Tamandua tetradactyla: one gene and its partner. The protein of the gene in region 1 purifies or fractionates together with the protein of each later gene. This does not show direct contact. Links are inferred from orthologs where the notes say so. Each region holds a gene or a part of one and is shown on either strand. Other genes may lie near its edges.

What was found. The genes of interacting proteins can lie anywhere in the genome.
Region 2: the proteins of INTS1 (region 1) and PPP2R1A purify together in Homo sapiens (affinity purification with mass spectrometry; 4 studies listed by BioGRID and IntAct, with this or other methods). This does not show direct contact. The link is inferred for Tamandua tetradactyla from reciprocal best matches to the Homo sapiens genes INTS1 and PPP2R1A.

The regions. Positions count from the first base shown.
Region 1 is NC_135349.1:1,062,527-1,069,839, reverse strand, and holds the start of INTS1 (integrator complex subunit 1), read left to right. Parts: upstream 1-4,263; 5' UTR 4,264-4,377; intron 4,378-4,691; 5' UTR 4,692-4,724; coding exon 4,725-4,782; intron 4,783-5,357; coding exon 5,358-5,648; intron 5,649-7,313. Other genes in the region: uncharacterized protein LOC143667835, read right to left, coding at 1,371-2,366, 2,456-3,073, 3,458-3,466. UniProt on the Homo sapiens protein: Component of the integrator complex, a multiprotein complex that terminates RNA polymerase II (Pol II) transcription in the promoter-proximal region of genes.
Region 2 is NC_135342.1:8,986,143-8,993,941, reverse strand, and holds the start of PPP2R1A (serine/threonine-protein phosphatase 2A 65 kDa regulatory subunit A alpha isoform), read right to left. Parts: upstream 3,013-7,799; 5' UTR 2,929-3,012; coding exon 2,851-2,928; intron 1-2,850. UniProt on the Homo sapiens protein: The PR65 subunit of protein phosphatase 2A serves as a scaffolding molecule to coordinate the assembly of the catalytic subunit and a variable regulatory B subunit.

The sequences.
Region 1 (7,313 bases):
TAATATGGGGTAGGGAGATGGAACTACCTGATGTTCTGGAGAGGCTGGGCCCTCTAGGTGTCAGGACTTATCTGGACCAGGGACCCATCTAGAGGTTGTAGGTTTCTGGAAAGTTACTCTAGTGCCTGGACCCATGTGGCATCTTATATATCGCCCTAGGTGTTCTTTAGGATTGGCAGGAATGGTCCTGGTTGGGGTTGGCAGGTTATGACAGGTAGCAAGGTCTGCCTGAAGCTTGCCTAAGAATGACCTTGAGTAGTCTCTGGACTCTGAACTCCCTCAGCCACTGATACTTCATTAAACTTCTTTCCCCCCTTTTGGTGAGGATGGAATTGTTGATCCCATAGTGCCAGGTCTGGATTCATCCCTGGGAGTCCTCTCCCACATCGCCAGGGACTTTCACCTCTGGACGTCATGTCCCACACAGGGGGAGGGCAACGCTTTCACTAGGCCCTTTTAACCCACTCCTGCGGCACAGGCCTGCTGCGGGTGGTCCCTCTGCTTAGGTGGTGTCCCTGGAGCTGGGACCCCATCCATTCAAGGTGGACCTTAGCCCTTTACTAGAGTTCTATATGAGGAAAAAAGACAGAAGAGCCCAGAGAGCCCAGAGAAAAGCCCCAAGGAGCTGAGAGGGCCTGTGGAAGCTTAGACGGAGGCCCGGGAGAGAAGGACCAACTGCTGCCCCGATGCCGGCAGCCTGCAGAGGCCAGGTATCATCCTGCTGACCCCTTGCACTGGACAATTTCACGGCCTTAGACCTGTCAATTGTAAGCTAATAAATCCCCACTGCTGAAGCTGACTGTGGCTGGCGGATGGCATCCGGAGCTTCAGCAAACAGGAGCAGGAGAGAGTGGGGTGGACTCATCATGGTCGCCTCTTCTGGCTTCCAAACCCAGCGCCCACATGCACCGAGGCCCTGGGGCGGCCAGGGCGCCCTCCTGCCCTGTCCCCAGTGCAGTGATGCCTCGGGGCACCCGGCAGTGAAGGGGACCCAGAATCCTCCTGGTCTGGGAATGGCTAGAGGCCCGAGGTGCTGGGGTCAGGGGTCACAGGGGCAAGGGGTCAGGCTGCACCCCTTCCCCACCCCTGGAGGGAGGCTGGGCTGGAACTCGTGCACCAGCAGCCAGGGCCGACTGTCCGCCTGTGATGTTGCCCGTCCAGCTGGGGAGCCCCCGTGCACCCCGGGGTCTGAGGCATCATCACAGAAGCAGCCCCCCCAGTGCCTGTCGGCTGCGGGTTTTGTGGGGGGTCTCAGGCAACCCCCATGTGGGGGGTTCAGGGCTCAGTGCAGAGGGGATGGTTCTTGTGTCCTCCTAACGCATCCCCGAGCCACCCGCCACCCCTCCCACCCGCAGGCCTGGGGGGCTCACCTGCCCTCGCCTGGGTGTCCAATCAGCAATCCCCTCTGAGCCCCCACCTTGAGCGCAGCCCTGCCTCCAGGGCGCACACCAGGAGGTAGGGGACACGGAGGGACGCCTGTGTCGGGGGCTTCGCCTGCTGGACCCTCCGACGCGATGCCAACATCTGGCAGACTGAGGAGTCACCTGTCCTCCCTCCATCGCCTTGCCCTGTCCATGTTGCCCCGGCCCCAGGAAGCCCCAGGGCGCCTGTGCCACCCCTGGAGCTGAGGCCCACGTGGCAGCCGGGCAGGGGTACAGCAGTGTCCTAGCCCCCGCACCGCCCGCAGCCCCTACCACAGTCTCCTGGCCCCAGATGTGGGGGGTGGGGCTCGGGCTGCCTGGCCTCGGCCCTGCAGCCAGGGTGGGAAGGCCTAAGCGGCCGAGCTCCAGGGGGCAGAGCCGGGGCTCTGGGGTCCGCGACCACACAGCCACTGCTGGGCTTGGCCACCAGGTGAATCCCTTCCCTGCCCCAGCCTCCGGGCAGCTGGGACAAAGGGACCCCCATAGTCTCCCAGGGGTGGGCAGGGGGTGGCCTGGAGCCCTGGGAGGGCCGGGGCAGGCGGGTGGCCGTGGGGGTTCAAGGAAGGCTCCGTGGAAGGCCTGGGGCTGGGCGTGTGGCTTCCCCGTACCGGAGGGCGCAGGGCGGTCAAGTCCGCCTCGTCCCGCCCCAGCTTCCCTCAAGAAGAGGCCACCCCCACTGCCCAGGGACCCTCTCTCGGGCTCCCACAGGCCTCTGAGCTGGGATGGGCTCCTGCTGGCTTGATCCTGGGGAGTTGGGGGGCTACAGCCAGAGGGCCCCGGACCCTGGGGGGGGGGCAGATGGGAGGGGAGGGGGCCCCTCGTGGGCACAACCCCCACCCCGGGATGGAGGTACCCTGCCTCTGTTCCTCTCTGGACGCGGGAGGGGCCTGCCACCAACACGTCTCTGCCTGCTGCCTCCCAAAAGACTCGGAGTTTCTGAGTCTTCTTCCCTCAAAGGAGCCCAGTGGCAAGACCCTCTCGAAGGCCTCATTCCCGGACCCCGTCTGCAGGTGGGTGCCTGGGGCTGAGGGTACCCCTTCCCCGCTGTCTCCGCCCCCTTCCCCGCCGTCCCCGCTGGACCCCGCGCCCCTTCCCCGCCGTCCCCACCGGACCCCGCGCCCCTTCCCCGCCGTCCCGGCCGGACCCCGCGCCCCTTCCGCTGGTCCCCGGGCCCCTTCCCCGCCGTCCCGGCCGGACCCCGCGCCCCTTCCGCTGGTCCCCGGGCCCCTTCCCTGCCGTCCCCGCCGGACCCCGCGCCCCTTCCGCTGGTCCCCGCCCCCTTCCCCGGCCTGTCCACACCGGACCCCGCGCCCCTTCCCCGCCCCCTTCCGCCGGACCCCGCGCCCCTTCCCCGCCGTCCCGGCCGGACCCCGCGCCCCTTCCCCGCCGTCCCGGCCGGACCCCGCGCCCCTTCCCCGCCCCCTTCCGCCGGACCCCGCGCCCCTTCCCCGCCGGTCCCCGGGCCCCTTCCCTGCCGTCCCCGCCGGACCCCGCGCCCCTTCCCCGCCGGTCCCCGCCCCCTTCCCCGGCCTGTCCACACCGGACCCCGCGCCCCTTCCCCGCCCCCTTCCGCCGGACCCCGCGCCCCTTCCCCGCCGGTCCCCGGGCCCCTTCCCTGCCGTCCCCGCCGGACCCCGCGCCCCTTCCCCGGCCTGTCCACACCGGACCCCGCGCCCCTTCCCCGCCCCCTTCCGCCGGACCCCGCGCCCCTTCCCCGCACCCCTTCCACCGGTCCCCGCACCCCTTCCCTGCCGTCCCCACCGGACCCCGCGCCCCTTCCCCGTCGCCCCCGCGCCCCTTCCCCGCCGGACCCCGCGCCCCTTCCCGGCCGTCCCCACCGGACCCCGCGCCCCTTCCCGGCCGTCCCCACCGGACCCCGCGCCCCTTCCCCGTCGCCCCCGCGCCCCTTCCCCGCCGGACCCCGCGCCCCTTCCCTGCCGTCCCCACCGGACCCCGCGCCCCTTCCCCGCCGTCCCGGTTTGTGGTGTTTACTAATTTCTGTGGTGCAGATATTCCTGCATTGACTGATTTCAAGCCAGCAGCATGATGTCACTGGATGCAGAGCCAGGAAATGCTGGGCTCCATCCGCTCCAACCAGCGGTTCAAGCAGGCCCCAGCTCAGGGCTGCAGGAGAGGTCCTCCCGCGCACATCGGGTAGCACTGCTCCACACTGCTCTCAAAGTGAACCTGCTGAGTTACAAGCTATGGGAACTTTCAACGTTACCAGACCCCGCGCCCCTTCCCGGCCGTCCCCGCGCCCCTTCCCCGCCGTCCCCGCGCCCCTTCCCCGCCGTCCCCGCGCCCCTTCCCGGCCGTCCCCACCGGACCCCGCGCCCCTTCCCCGTCGTCCCCGCGCCCCTTCCCCGCCGTCCCGGCCGGACCCCGCGCCCCTTCCCCGCCGGACCCCGCGCCCCTTCCCGGCGCCCCTTCTCGCCGCGGCTCCTGCAGGGCCCAGGTCTGGGGCTCGGGGGTGGTGGTCCCAGGCTGAGCCCGGGGTTCGCCGGGCTCCTGCGCTCCCTCCCCCTCGCCGCCACCGCGGGGCACTCCAGGCCCGCCGCCCGTCCCTGAGGCGTCCGAGCCCCGAGGCCCGGCGGGGCCCGTCTGTACAGCCGACCAGTCGTACTCCCCGCGGGCTGCGCGGCGGAGCGGGCACTCGGCGGAGCGGGCACCCGCAAGGGCGGGCACGCGCAAGGGCGGGCACTCGGCGGGGCGGGCACTCGCCGGCTCTGGCCGCTCGCGGAAGCTGCAGTGTCCTGAGCGGCTGCCCCGCCGCCAGAGGGCGCTGCAGGCACGGCGAGGGCGCCGCCCGCCCGCCTCTCCTCTGCCTCCCGCCGCGCTGTTTTGCTTCCCACAATTCCGGAAGTGGGAGCGCGGAGAGCGGGAGCAAGCGTTTCCGGTTCCGGGGCGGCCGGAGCGGCCGGGAAGGCGCTCGGGTGGCCTAGGCGATGGGCTGGAGGTGAGTGGGCAGGGGCCCTGGCCTCGCCCTTGCCGCCGGGCGGAGCTGGCTCTTTGCTCCTTGCCCGGCCCGTCTTCCCTTAGGCTTCGGGGCGCCTCGGCCGGCCCACGCGCCCTCGGCAGCCGCCCCGGCCCGTGCCTCGCGGCTCCCGGCGCGATCGAGCCCCCTTGCAGGCGGCGTGGGTGCCGGTGTCTCAGGCAGCCCCTTTGAGAAACGCCCCGCCGGGCAGACTTCGGGCCCCGTTCGTCCCCTAGGTCCTCAGTCCCTGCACGGCAGGGGAAGGAATGAATGAATGATGTCGCGCTGTCTTTCAGGTGACACAGCAGCAGCGAGGGGAAGGGGACAGAATGAACCGTGCCAAGCCTGCCGCCGTCCGGAGGCCCAGCGCGGCGGCCAAACCTTCAGGCGAGTGAGAGCAGCAACGGGCTCTTTGGGGACTTCTCAGCTTTGCCCTTTGGCCTAAGTTGGAGCTTATTTAGCAGTAAAGTATGTTTCTAGCAATGAGGTCTAGAAAGAAACCTCGGTCCTAAGAGCTTCTGGAGTCCTTGGTGGATTTTGGACGCTGTGGCCTCCCCTGGGAGACTGTCACCTTGTTTCAGGTGGTGCATCCAAGGCTCTAGGCAGGAATCGGAGAATAATGTAGTTGAGGGCAGCGTCAGGAAGGTGGTTAAAAACTCAGGCTCTGGAGTTGCATTCCGGTTTTGTCTTTCCACCCTCTGCACCCCTGGGCATGTTCAGCCTCTCTGGGGCTCCTTGTCCTTTACCCTGTTTGGAAACTCATAAGGATTAAATAAACTAATACTTGTAAGTGGTAAGCTTTGCATAACTGCTGGTCATCCTTGATACTACATTATACCAGTCTCAGTTTAGCTGTTGACTTGCTAAGTAGCCTCGGGCTTGTTTTGTGCCTTCTCTCATCATTGTTTAACTCTCTCTGAAATAACAGGAGATTGGATGTATTCTCTTTCCCTTCTGTGCAGGACACCCTCCTCCAGGAGATTTCATTGCTCTGGGCTCAAAGGGTCAGGCCAATGAATCGAAAACAGCATCTACCCTCCTGAAGCCAGCCCCTTCCGGCCTGCCTTCAGAGCGCAAGCGGGATGCTGCAGCTGCTTTATCGGGTTCCTCAGGCCTGACTGGCCTCACCAAACGCCCCAAACTCTCCTCCACACCACCTCTGAGTGCCCTGGGGCGCCTGGCTGAGGCTGCAGTGGCAGAAAAACGAGCTATTTCTCCTTCCATTAAAGAACCATCTGTGGTACCGATTGAAGGTAAAGTAGGCCCTGGGCTCCTCAGAGCACGTACCCTGTTCCTCGTGAGTCCAGCAGCGTTTAGTGGACACCTCCCAGGCTTAGCACCGTCAGGGTCCTGAGAGAGGACGGATGAGACTAGATGTCTTAACAGGGCAGTTTGTTCATCTGAGAATTCATTCTCCAAAGCACCTCTCGTACAGGTGCCTTTATTCCACCTTCACTTCTAAATTCCTTGACAAGAATCAGGGAAATACTAAGGTGGCCCAGGGCGAGATGGCCTAGGAGAGAGGTGGGGTGGGGGCAGCACACAGGGAGATCTAGAATGACACAGTCACATTGTAAGAGCAAGTTTCTGACATTGGACAGGTCAGTGAGCCTTGTTGGCCTTCTCTGTAAAGTTGGGGTGAAAAGTAATAGGGTTTAGGAGTTAACAAGACTGCTGTGTGCAGATGCTTCATCAGCTGTGACGTGTGGGGTGAGAGGAGGACCTCCGCCGTTGTGTTCTCCCCACCTTCAGGGAAGGGGTACAGAAGAAGCTGCTGCATGAGGGTCAGTGCACCCCTAGCCTGCTGCCAGCTGCTCTCCTGTGGGAGCTTTAGTTAACCTGGTAGTCGTTTGGTGAGCATCTGCTCTGCAGGAGCTACCCTGAGCACAGGGACCAGTGGCAAGTGTGGCAGGTGAGGCTCTTCTCTCGTGGCTGGGATACCTCGTGTGTCCCCTCACCTGGAGAGGCTGGGTCTGCATTCGCGTGTATCTCCCCACCCAGGTGCAAACAGTAAAGCGTTTTACCCCCGCCTTTTCCAGTTGAAAACGCATTACAACATTAAAGACCTAAAAGAAGAATAGAAGCTCGATCATGATTTCACTACGCACACAGGTGTTTTTACCGTGGTGCGAATCTCTTGTTTTCCCTACGCTTCTGTGTGAGCTTCCCAGGGGTTGTCTTTAATGGCCCCACAGCATCCTGTGGGGTAGATCTATTAGAGAGATTGAGGCCCAGACACTGAGCCCGTGGGTCCTCGTAGGTTTGAGAGCAGACCTTGTCTGTGTATTTTTGATTGTGTGGGAGCATTTCTTTAGGTTAAATTCTTTGTAGGAGTTACGAGACAGAACGTCTTGACAGCTTTGGTAATGGTCTATCAGTTTAACTGAACCCACCACATGTTATTGAGACCATGAATGTGGAGTCACAGGGGTGTGAGGATAAATAGCCTGTGGCTCCTGCCCCCAGAGTGCAGACCCTCAGAGGCGCCAGGTGACTGTAACTCAAAGCTCCGCGGAGTAAGTCCCACTAAGGGGCTGAGCAGTCAGGTGTCCTGACTGCTCAGGTAGGGAGAAGGCACGTCAGAATTGCAGCGTGAGATCAGGTCTGCAGGATGGATGATATTGTTACAGGCGGTAAAGAATGCTGGCAGGAAGACAGGCGAAGCAGAGCCGTCTTCCTGGGGAATGAAGCTGTGCCAGGGCTCGGTCTGGGTGTGGCCTGGCTGGCACATGGTGGCGAGCAGTGTGGCCCAGAGGTGTGGACAGTGTCTGCATCTGGGTCACTTGGAGTTCAGAGGCAGTGGGGAGCAGAACTGACTGAGCAAGAGCCAAGCTGGCAAAGGCTGGGACTCCTCTGTGCTGAGGGCCTGACCTGCCCTGTCTTCTCACCTGCCAACTGGGCTATGCCATTTTCCTTCT
Region 2 (7,799 bases), on another chromosome or scaffold:
GTGGTCTGTTCACAGCTGTAGCCTCATCAGGCAGCCCAATACCCAGTACTCCATAAATATAAATTCCTGTGGAACAAGTTCAGCTTCACTGACCTCAATGCAGTAACATTTAAAACTGCAAGGATTAAACAAACAAACAAAAAAAGCTAAATTAACTGATGAAGTTAAAAAAAAAAAAGCACACTCACCATCCCCTCTTTACCACTTTGTCCCTCAATCTCCCCCTTCCAATGCAGTGACTGTGGGGGGCAGAATAAAGCCCCACCAGGATGTCCACTACCCAATCCCTGGAATCACCAAGTATTATGCAGCTTCATGAAGCAAAAGGGAGCCTGCAGATGTGATCTGGGTAAGGACCTAGAGAACACCTGGGCAGACTCAATATAATAACATCGATCCTTGAAACTCAGAGAATCTCTCCGGACTGTGAGAGAGGGAAAGGAGACTATGAAAGAAAAATCAGGAAGAAGGACCCTCACTGGCCCTGAAGATGGAGGAAAGTACTAGATGGGGAAAGCCTCTAGAAGATGGAAAAGGCAAGGAAATGGTTCACTTCTAGAGTGTCCAGAAATGAAGATACCCCTGCTGACACCTTGATTTTACCTAGTCAAGTCACCATGTCAGAACTTTGGACCTACAATACTGTCAGATAACAAATTTCTGTTGTTTTAAGCCATTACATTTCTTGCAATTTGTACCAGCAAATCTGGTATCTTTGTTCAAATATTACCTTCTCAGCACGGGCTCCCCTAACCACTCTTTTTAAAATTGTACTCCACATTTCTCTTATTTTTCCTCATAGTATTTATCCCTGTTTCACATATTATTCAATTTACTTATTTTGCTTACTGTTTATCTCCCAGCCCTAGTCTGATAAGCACCACAAAGCCAGGAAATGTCCTTCTCATCCTCTGCTAAACACCTGTGCCAAAGACAGTGCACAGCTGAGGCTCCAGATATTTGCAGGCCCACTATCACATCGTGTTTGTTTCCTGCCCACCATGTCTCATATGTGTGACTATATTTAGCTGTCGACATGCTTCACACCTGTCTCCTGAAGAGCAACCAGTGTCACTGCTATTGCCCCAGCACCATACCTGAGGCTCAGCAGATGTTTACTGAACACGTGAATTCACACAACTGCCTGGCCGACAAGACATTTATCCCCATTTGTCAGAAGAAACCAAGACTCACCTAACTTGTCCATATCAATCAGCAAGAAGTTGAAGAGAGAGGAGTACAAACTGACCAAGCAGTCAGCTTACTCCTTGCATGCCTCCCCACTCCCTCCTGGGTCCTGACTAATCTTGCAGCTCTGGGACTGCACACAAAAACAACTCCAACTGCAAGGGGGTGAGGGGTGGGGAGCACCGGACCGCCGACAAGACAAATGGAAAAAGGACAACTTTAGGCCCCAACAATTGTAAACAGCAACTTCACCCCCGAGCTTCCTCTCCCCTCACCTGGCTACCCAGGCACCTGAGAAGCTCCTAATTGGGAGGTTCCTTAGCTCCCTCCTTCTTTCTCCTGGCCCTTACAGCAAAAGAAAACATTCCGAACCAGGTGGTCCAGAAGGCAACCAGTAAATCCCTGCTCACATTGAAGGAACCAACCAGGCCTAACTGCAACCTCAGCAAATCCCTTCCCCCATCCCAGTGATAAAACCCCTTGCTATCTTCCTAGGCTTTTCCTCCAACCCACCTCCAGTCCTTAAAAACCCGGCTTTCCTTTTTTCCGCAGAGTTGAATTTAACTCTCTCCCTTTGCTGTAACAGCCACTGGATAGTCATTCTTGCCTGTTTAACACCGTCAAGTGCCATTTTTCACTCGACAAAGGGGAGCCTGTCTGACTCCAGAATGAGAGCGAGGCACCCAAAACCTCCGAGCCCTGCCCGGCCTTGGAACATTTCCCAGTGCATCCCCCTCGATTTTATAAGTGGGAATCTGAGGACGAGATGGAGGATGGGAGGCTTCACGCACTGTTCACAATAATTACGGCTAATATTTGCTGGGCCCTTACAATCGGCCAGAAGCCGTCTGTTTTACTAATATTTTTAACGCAATCAGTCCTCACAATCACCCAGTGAGGCCAGGACTATATCACCCCACACTGCCTGGAAAAGAGGCTCAGAGCGGTGAAGTAACTCGCCCAAAGTCACGCAGCGTGTGGGCGGTGGAGCTGTGACCGGCCCCCCAGGTCTATCAGGAAGCCCTAAGCCGGCTCAAAGCCCCCCTATATATAACACTCCCCCAACAACCCACTCAGGAGAAAATCGTGAGCCGGCTGAGGAAAGTGGGGGGATAGGGTGGAGGGGAAAGGGGGCGGGTTGCTACAGTGCTGGCTTCCCCCCGGTGCGCCCTCCTCCTCTTTGAGGGTGTACATCAAAATGGGAGAGGAGGGCAGGAATGGCGAAGGCAGCCCATTCTGGGGGCCCACGCCGCGGCCCCGCGGAAACCCAAGAAGAAGAAATCACACCCAAGTCCTGGCCAACACGGCCGCGCCCGCTCCCCGCCCAGTCAAGGGGCCACTCCGGGACCTCCGCCAATCACGGGGCCCTACCCACCCTCATCCCGTGCCCCCACCCCGGCCTCCCAGACCCCCGGCTACCGCGCGCGTTCGGCAGGCCCAGGACCCTCCAGGCGCGCCCATGCTCCCACCCCCCCGCTGCGCCGACTCCCAATCCGTAGCGCCGTCTCATGGGGTCCGGGGACCCAGAGGGATGAGAGCTGGACGCTGATTGGCCGCCAACTCGGCCGCCACTCCAGGCGAAAGGCGATCCCCTCCGCGAGGGCCTCCAAGGGCCTCCATGTCTCCCTTGCCGTCTTCCCCGAGCCCCTACAGCCTTCTTACTTGCACATCTTCATTGCGGAGCTCATCTATGAGCACCGCGATGGGGTAGAGCGAGTCATCGCCGTCGGCCGCCGCCATCTTGGCTCCGTTCCGTTCGGGTCAGACCGCAACCAGCACAGTGCTGTGGTGGGGCGGGGCCGGGGGCGGAGGAACGGCGAGCGAGGGGGCGCTCGGGCCAATTTACAGGGGCCGCCCCGCGCTCATTGGCTGCGCTACGCCGGATGTAGCCCGCGTTTCTTTGGTCCGAGTAAATCAAGTCCCGCCCACTGCCCATTTGCCATTGGTTGAATGGACGAGCTTGGGTTGGCCGGAGCCTAGCAAGGGGCGGGGGGAACCGCAATACCAGGTATCTTAGCAACCAGCCGCCTACGTTGCCGCTGGCAACGCGAGATGAACAGTGGTTTCTACATCGAGGGGCGGGACCGGGCGGAGGCGTAGCCCGCCCTTGGCGGAGTCCGGGAGAAGGCTTCTGTGCGTGTGCCGCCTGGAGCGCATGACGTCACCTAGGGGTGGGGTCCCCACGCATTTTGGGGTGTCGGGCGGTGGCGCTGGAGTACCTGTGAGGGAATTGAAGGGAGCGGGAGGTCCTCAGGTTATCCCTGGGATGGAGGAGACTTGCCTGGTTCTCTGAGTAAAACCCAAGAACCCCGTGGATCCGACCCGCTCGCCCTCTTAGCCACATCTCGCTCCTCCCCGCCTGAGCACTTCCTGCTTTTTTTAGCCTACAAGCCTTTCCCAAGTCGCACTTCAAACTCCTTAGAGTGCAGCCCCTGTTCACTCGTCAGATGTCTCCATAGAGGTCTCCCCTGTCTTCCCTACCTTCTGCCTTCGTCCTCTGGGCCTCCCTCCAGCAAGAAAAAACCCTCCCGGGGCCTGGGGCTGTCGTTCTGAGTGGCCGTCTGTCTCTTCAGGGTGGGCGCGGGGCGTACCTCACTCCACACGGTCACCCCACCCCTCCCGCAGCCTCGGGACCACCCTGTGGGCGGTGGGAATGGGAAGCCCACTTGGTCATTCCCACCTGAAGGGTGAGGCTGAGCCAGGACCCCCCTCAACGGGTCTGCACACCCCCACCCACTCGGGTCAGGAAACTACTACGTGTTAAGAGTGCATGTGTGAGACTCGGGGTATTTCAGCCCCTGCCTTCCGTGTTCCCAGGCTTGCCCACCCGAGCCCACCGAGGCTGTGGATCTTAGCTGGGGGTTAGGGACGGTTGCCTGCTGTGATGCTGGACTGCTCGGGTTTTGTTTGGGTTGGGGGGTTTTATCTTTTGGGTACCCAGCGCAGAGGAATTTTCAAAAAAAGCCGCTGAGGCTTTTTTTTTTTTTTAACAGCTCTTTAAAACACAAGGAAACTTAGGATTTAATAAATTAATATGTATTCCAGGAGAAATAGCTAGGTTCTATGAGGCTTTGCTTTTTTTTTTTTTTAAATCTCATACAAAACTTTGGGAAAGAACAAATGATTGGCTCCAAATGCCCAAGGAAAATTGTTAGTTTAATAAGTATTTTCTTAAGAAATGTCCATGCAATGACAACATGAATGCCAAATGATGTGCACTTAAGTATAATGAATTGCACTTCCTCCCACAACCCTATGAGATAGGTAAAGAACCATTATTGCTACCATTTTATGGATGAGAAAACTGAGGCATAGAGAATTTAAGAAATTGTTTCAGATCTCTCGAATGGTAATAGGGCAGCTGAAATTCAAATCTGAGCTGACCCTGATGTCCTACTTGAATAAAATGAAAGCTTTATGTAATAGTATAAAAATTATACCTAGTTTGAGATTTGGGATTATTTTGCTACGTCTGAGCTCATTTCAGGGTAGGGGTACAGTCAAACAAAGCCAGGAGATTCTTGAACAATGAAACATTCTTTGCTTTATGTCTTGCCTTTTCTTTCCTGATCATCATTCTCTAATGTCTAAAATGGGACAATCCACTATTTGGAGGAATAAACTGGGGGTGGGGTGGGGTGTGTACACTAACGATGGATTATTAAGCAACTCCTCATAAGAACCAGTTAGATCTCTATGTACTAAGAGGAAAAGTCGAAGATCTATGCTATGCTAACAATGGAAATTGCAGAGTAATATGTTTGGCATGAAGGGGTATGTGTCTGTGGACGTGTGTGTACATGGGTATGTCTGGATAAGAATGTAAGCAGCTCTGGAAGAATATGCACCAAGATAGAACATTGCTTACTTTGAGGGTAGAACAGGTCAAGAGAAAAAACTTTTTTTTTCCATCCCACTTTGTTTTTATTTTGTCTATCTGAACTTTTATAATAGCCAGATGATGCCTTTGTGATTAAAACGAAAGTCATTACAACCAATGATCATGGTTGTTACTAGTTTGCTAGTTGCTGGAATGCAATATACCAGAAACAGGATGACTTTTTAAAAGGGGAATTTAATGAGTTGCTAGTTTACAGTTCTAAGGCCGAGAAAATGTCCCAATTAAAACAAGTCTATAGAAATGTCCAATCACAGGCATCCAGAGGGAAATACCTTGGTTCAAGAAGGCCGATGAAATTCAGGGTTTCTCTCTCAAATGAGAAAGCACGTGGCAAACACCGTCAGGGTTTCTCTCTTGGCTGAAAGGGCACATGGCAAATACGATGTCATCTGCTAGCTTTCTCTCCTGGCTTCCTGTTTCATAAAGCTCCCCAGGAGACGTTTTCTTTTTTCATCTCCAAAGGTCACTGGCTGGTGAACTCTCTGCTTCTCGTGGCTGCGTAATCGTCTGCTCCAAAATGTTTCCTCTTTTATAGGATTCCATAAACTAATCAAGACCCACCCAAATGGGTGGAGACACGTCTCCACCTAACCCAGTTTAACAACCACTCTTGATTAAATCACATCTCCAGGGAGATGATCTGATTACAGGTTCAAACATACATAATCCTATTAGAAATAGGGATTAGAAGAAATGGATGCCCTTACAAAATGGGATTAAGATTAAAAAATGGCTTTTCTAGGGTACATACATCATTTCAAACCAGCACAATGGCATTATTCACAATTGCCAAAAGATGAAAGCAACCCAAGTGTCCATTAACAGAGGAATTAAGAAACAAAATGTGGTCTGTATTAGTTAGGGCTCTCTAGAGAAACAGAATCAACAGGAAATATTCATAAATATAAAATTGATTAAAGTATTTCACGTAATCATGGGAATGTAGAGTCCACAATCCGCAGGGCAGGCTGTGAAGCTCATGATTCTGATGGAGGGTCTGGATGAACTCCACAGGAGAGGCTCGCTGGTGGAAGCAGGAAGAGATCCTGTCTCTTCTGAATCCTCCTTGAAAATCTTCCAGTGATTAGATTAAGCATCACTCATTGCAGAAGACACTCCCCTTGGTTGATCACAAATGGAATCAGCTATTCATGTAGCCGACATGATCATGATTTAATTCTATGAAATGTCCTCATAGCAATAGGCAGGCCAGCACTTACCCAACCAGACAAACAGGTACCACCACCTGGCCAAGCTGATACATGGACCTGACCACGACAGTGGTCTGTCTATCCAGCAGAAAATTATTCAGCCAGAGGAAGGAATGAAGGTATGATACAGGTGACAACATGGCTGAACCTCGCAGACATCATGTGAGAGAAATAAGGCTATAGACACAAAAGAATAAATATTATATGGTCTCATTTATATGAAAACATTAGAATATGCAAATTCATAGAGTCAGAAACTGGGAGACAGGTTACCAGGGGCCAGGGTAGTGGTCAGGGAACGGGGAGTTAATGCTTACTTGGTACAGCATTTCCATGTGGACTGATGGAAAAGTTTTAGTAATGGTGGTGATAGGAGCCCAATATTACAGATGCAATTAGCACCATTAGCTGTCCATTTCTGAGTTTTTACATTCAGTCCTGTTGCACAATCTGTATCCTTTCAGCTCCAATTACCCAATATCTTACTCTATTTCTATCTCCTGATGGTCTCTGTTACCAGTGAAATTCTCCAAGTTTATTCACTAATGTCAGTTGATATCATTGAGACCATACATTATTGGTCCTTTTGTTTCTGGCTAATCTCACTCAGCATAATGTCCTTAAGGTCCATCCATGTTGTTACATACTTCATAAGTTTATTCTGTCTTAAAGCTGCATAATATTCCATCTTATGTAAATGTCACAGTTTGTTTAGTCAACTCTCTGTTAATGGACATTTTGGCTGTTTCCATCTCTTCGCAATTGTAAATAATGCTGCTATAAACACTGGTGTGCAAATGTCTGTTTGTTGTCCTTGCCCTTATGTCCTTTGAGTAGATACCTAGCAATGGTATTGCTGGGACATATGGCAATTCTATATTTAGCTTTTTGAGGAATTGCCAAACTGCCTTCCACAGTGGTTGCACCATTTGACATTCTCATCAACAGTGGATAAGTGTGCCTCTTTCTCCACATCCTCTCCAGCACTTGTCATTTTCTGTTTTGTTGATAATGGCCATTCTGGTGGGCGTGAGATGATATTATCTCATTGTTGTTTTGATTTGCATTTCTCTAATAGCCAGGGAAGTTGAGCATCTCTTCATGTGCCTTTTGGCCATTTGTATTTCCTCTTCTGAGAAGTGTCTGTTCAAGTGTTTTGCCCATTTTGTAATTGGGTTGGCTGTCTTTTTGTTGTTGAGTTGAACACTCTCTTTAACAATTCTGGATACTAGACCTTTATCTGATATGTTGTTTCCAAATATTGTCTCCCATTGTGAGCACCACTGAATTTTGTATTTGAAAATGGCTCAGATGGGAAATGCTGTGTTGTATATATATTACCTGAATAAAAATTTAAAAAGTCCACAGATTTGTATAACATGAACCGTGAACCCTAATGTGAACTATGGACTATGGTTAATGGTATAGTAGTAATATTGTTTCATCAATTGTAACAGAGGTACCCCACTGTGCTGGTTTGAAAGGATATATGCCCCCTA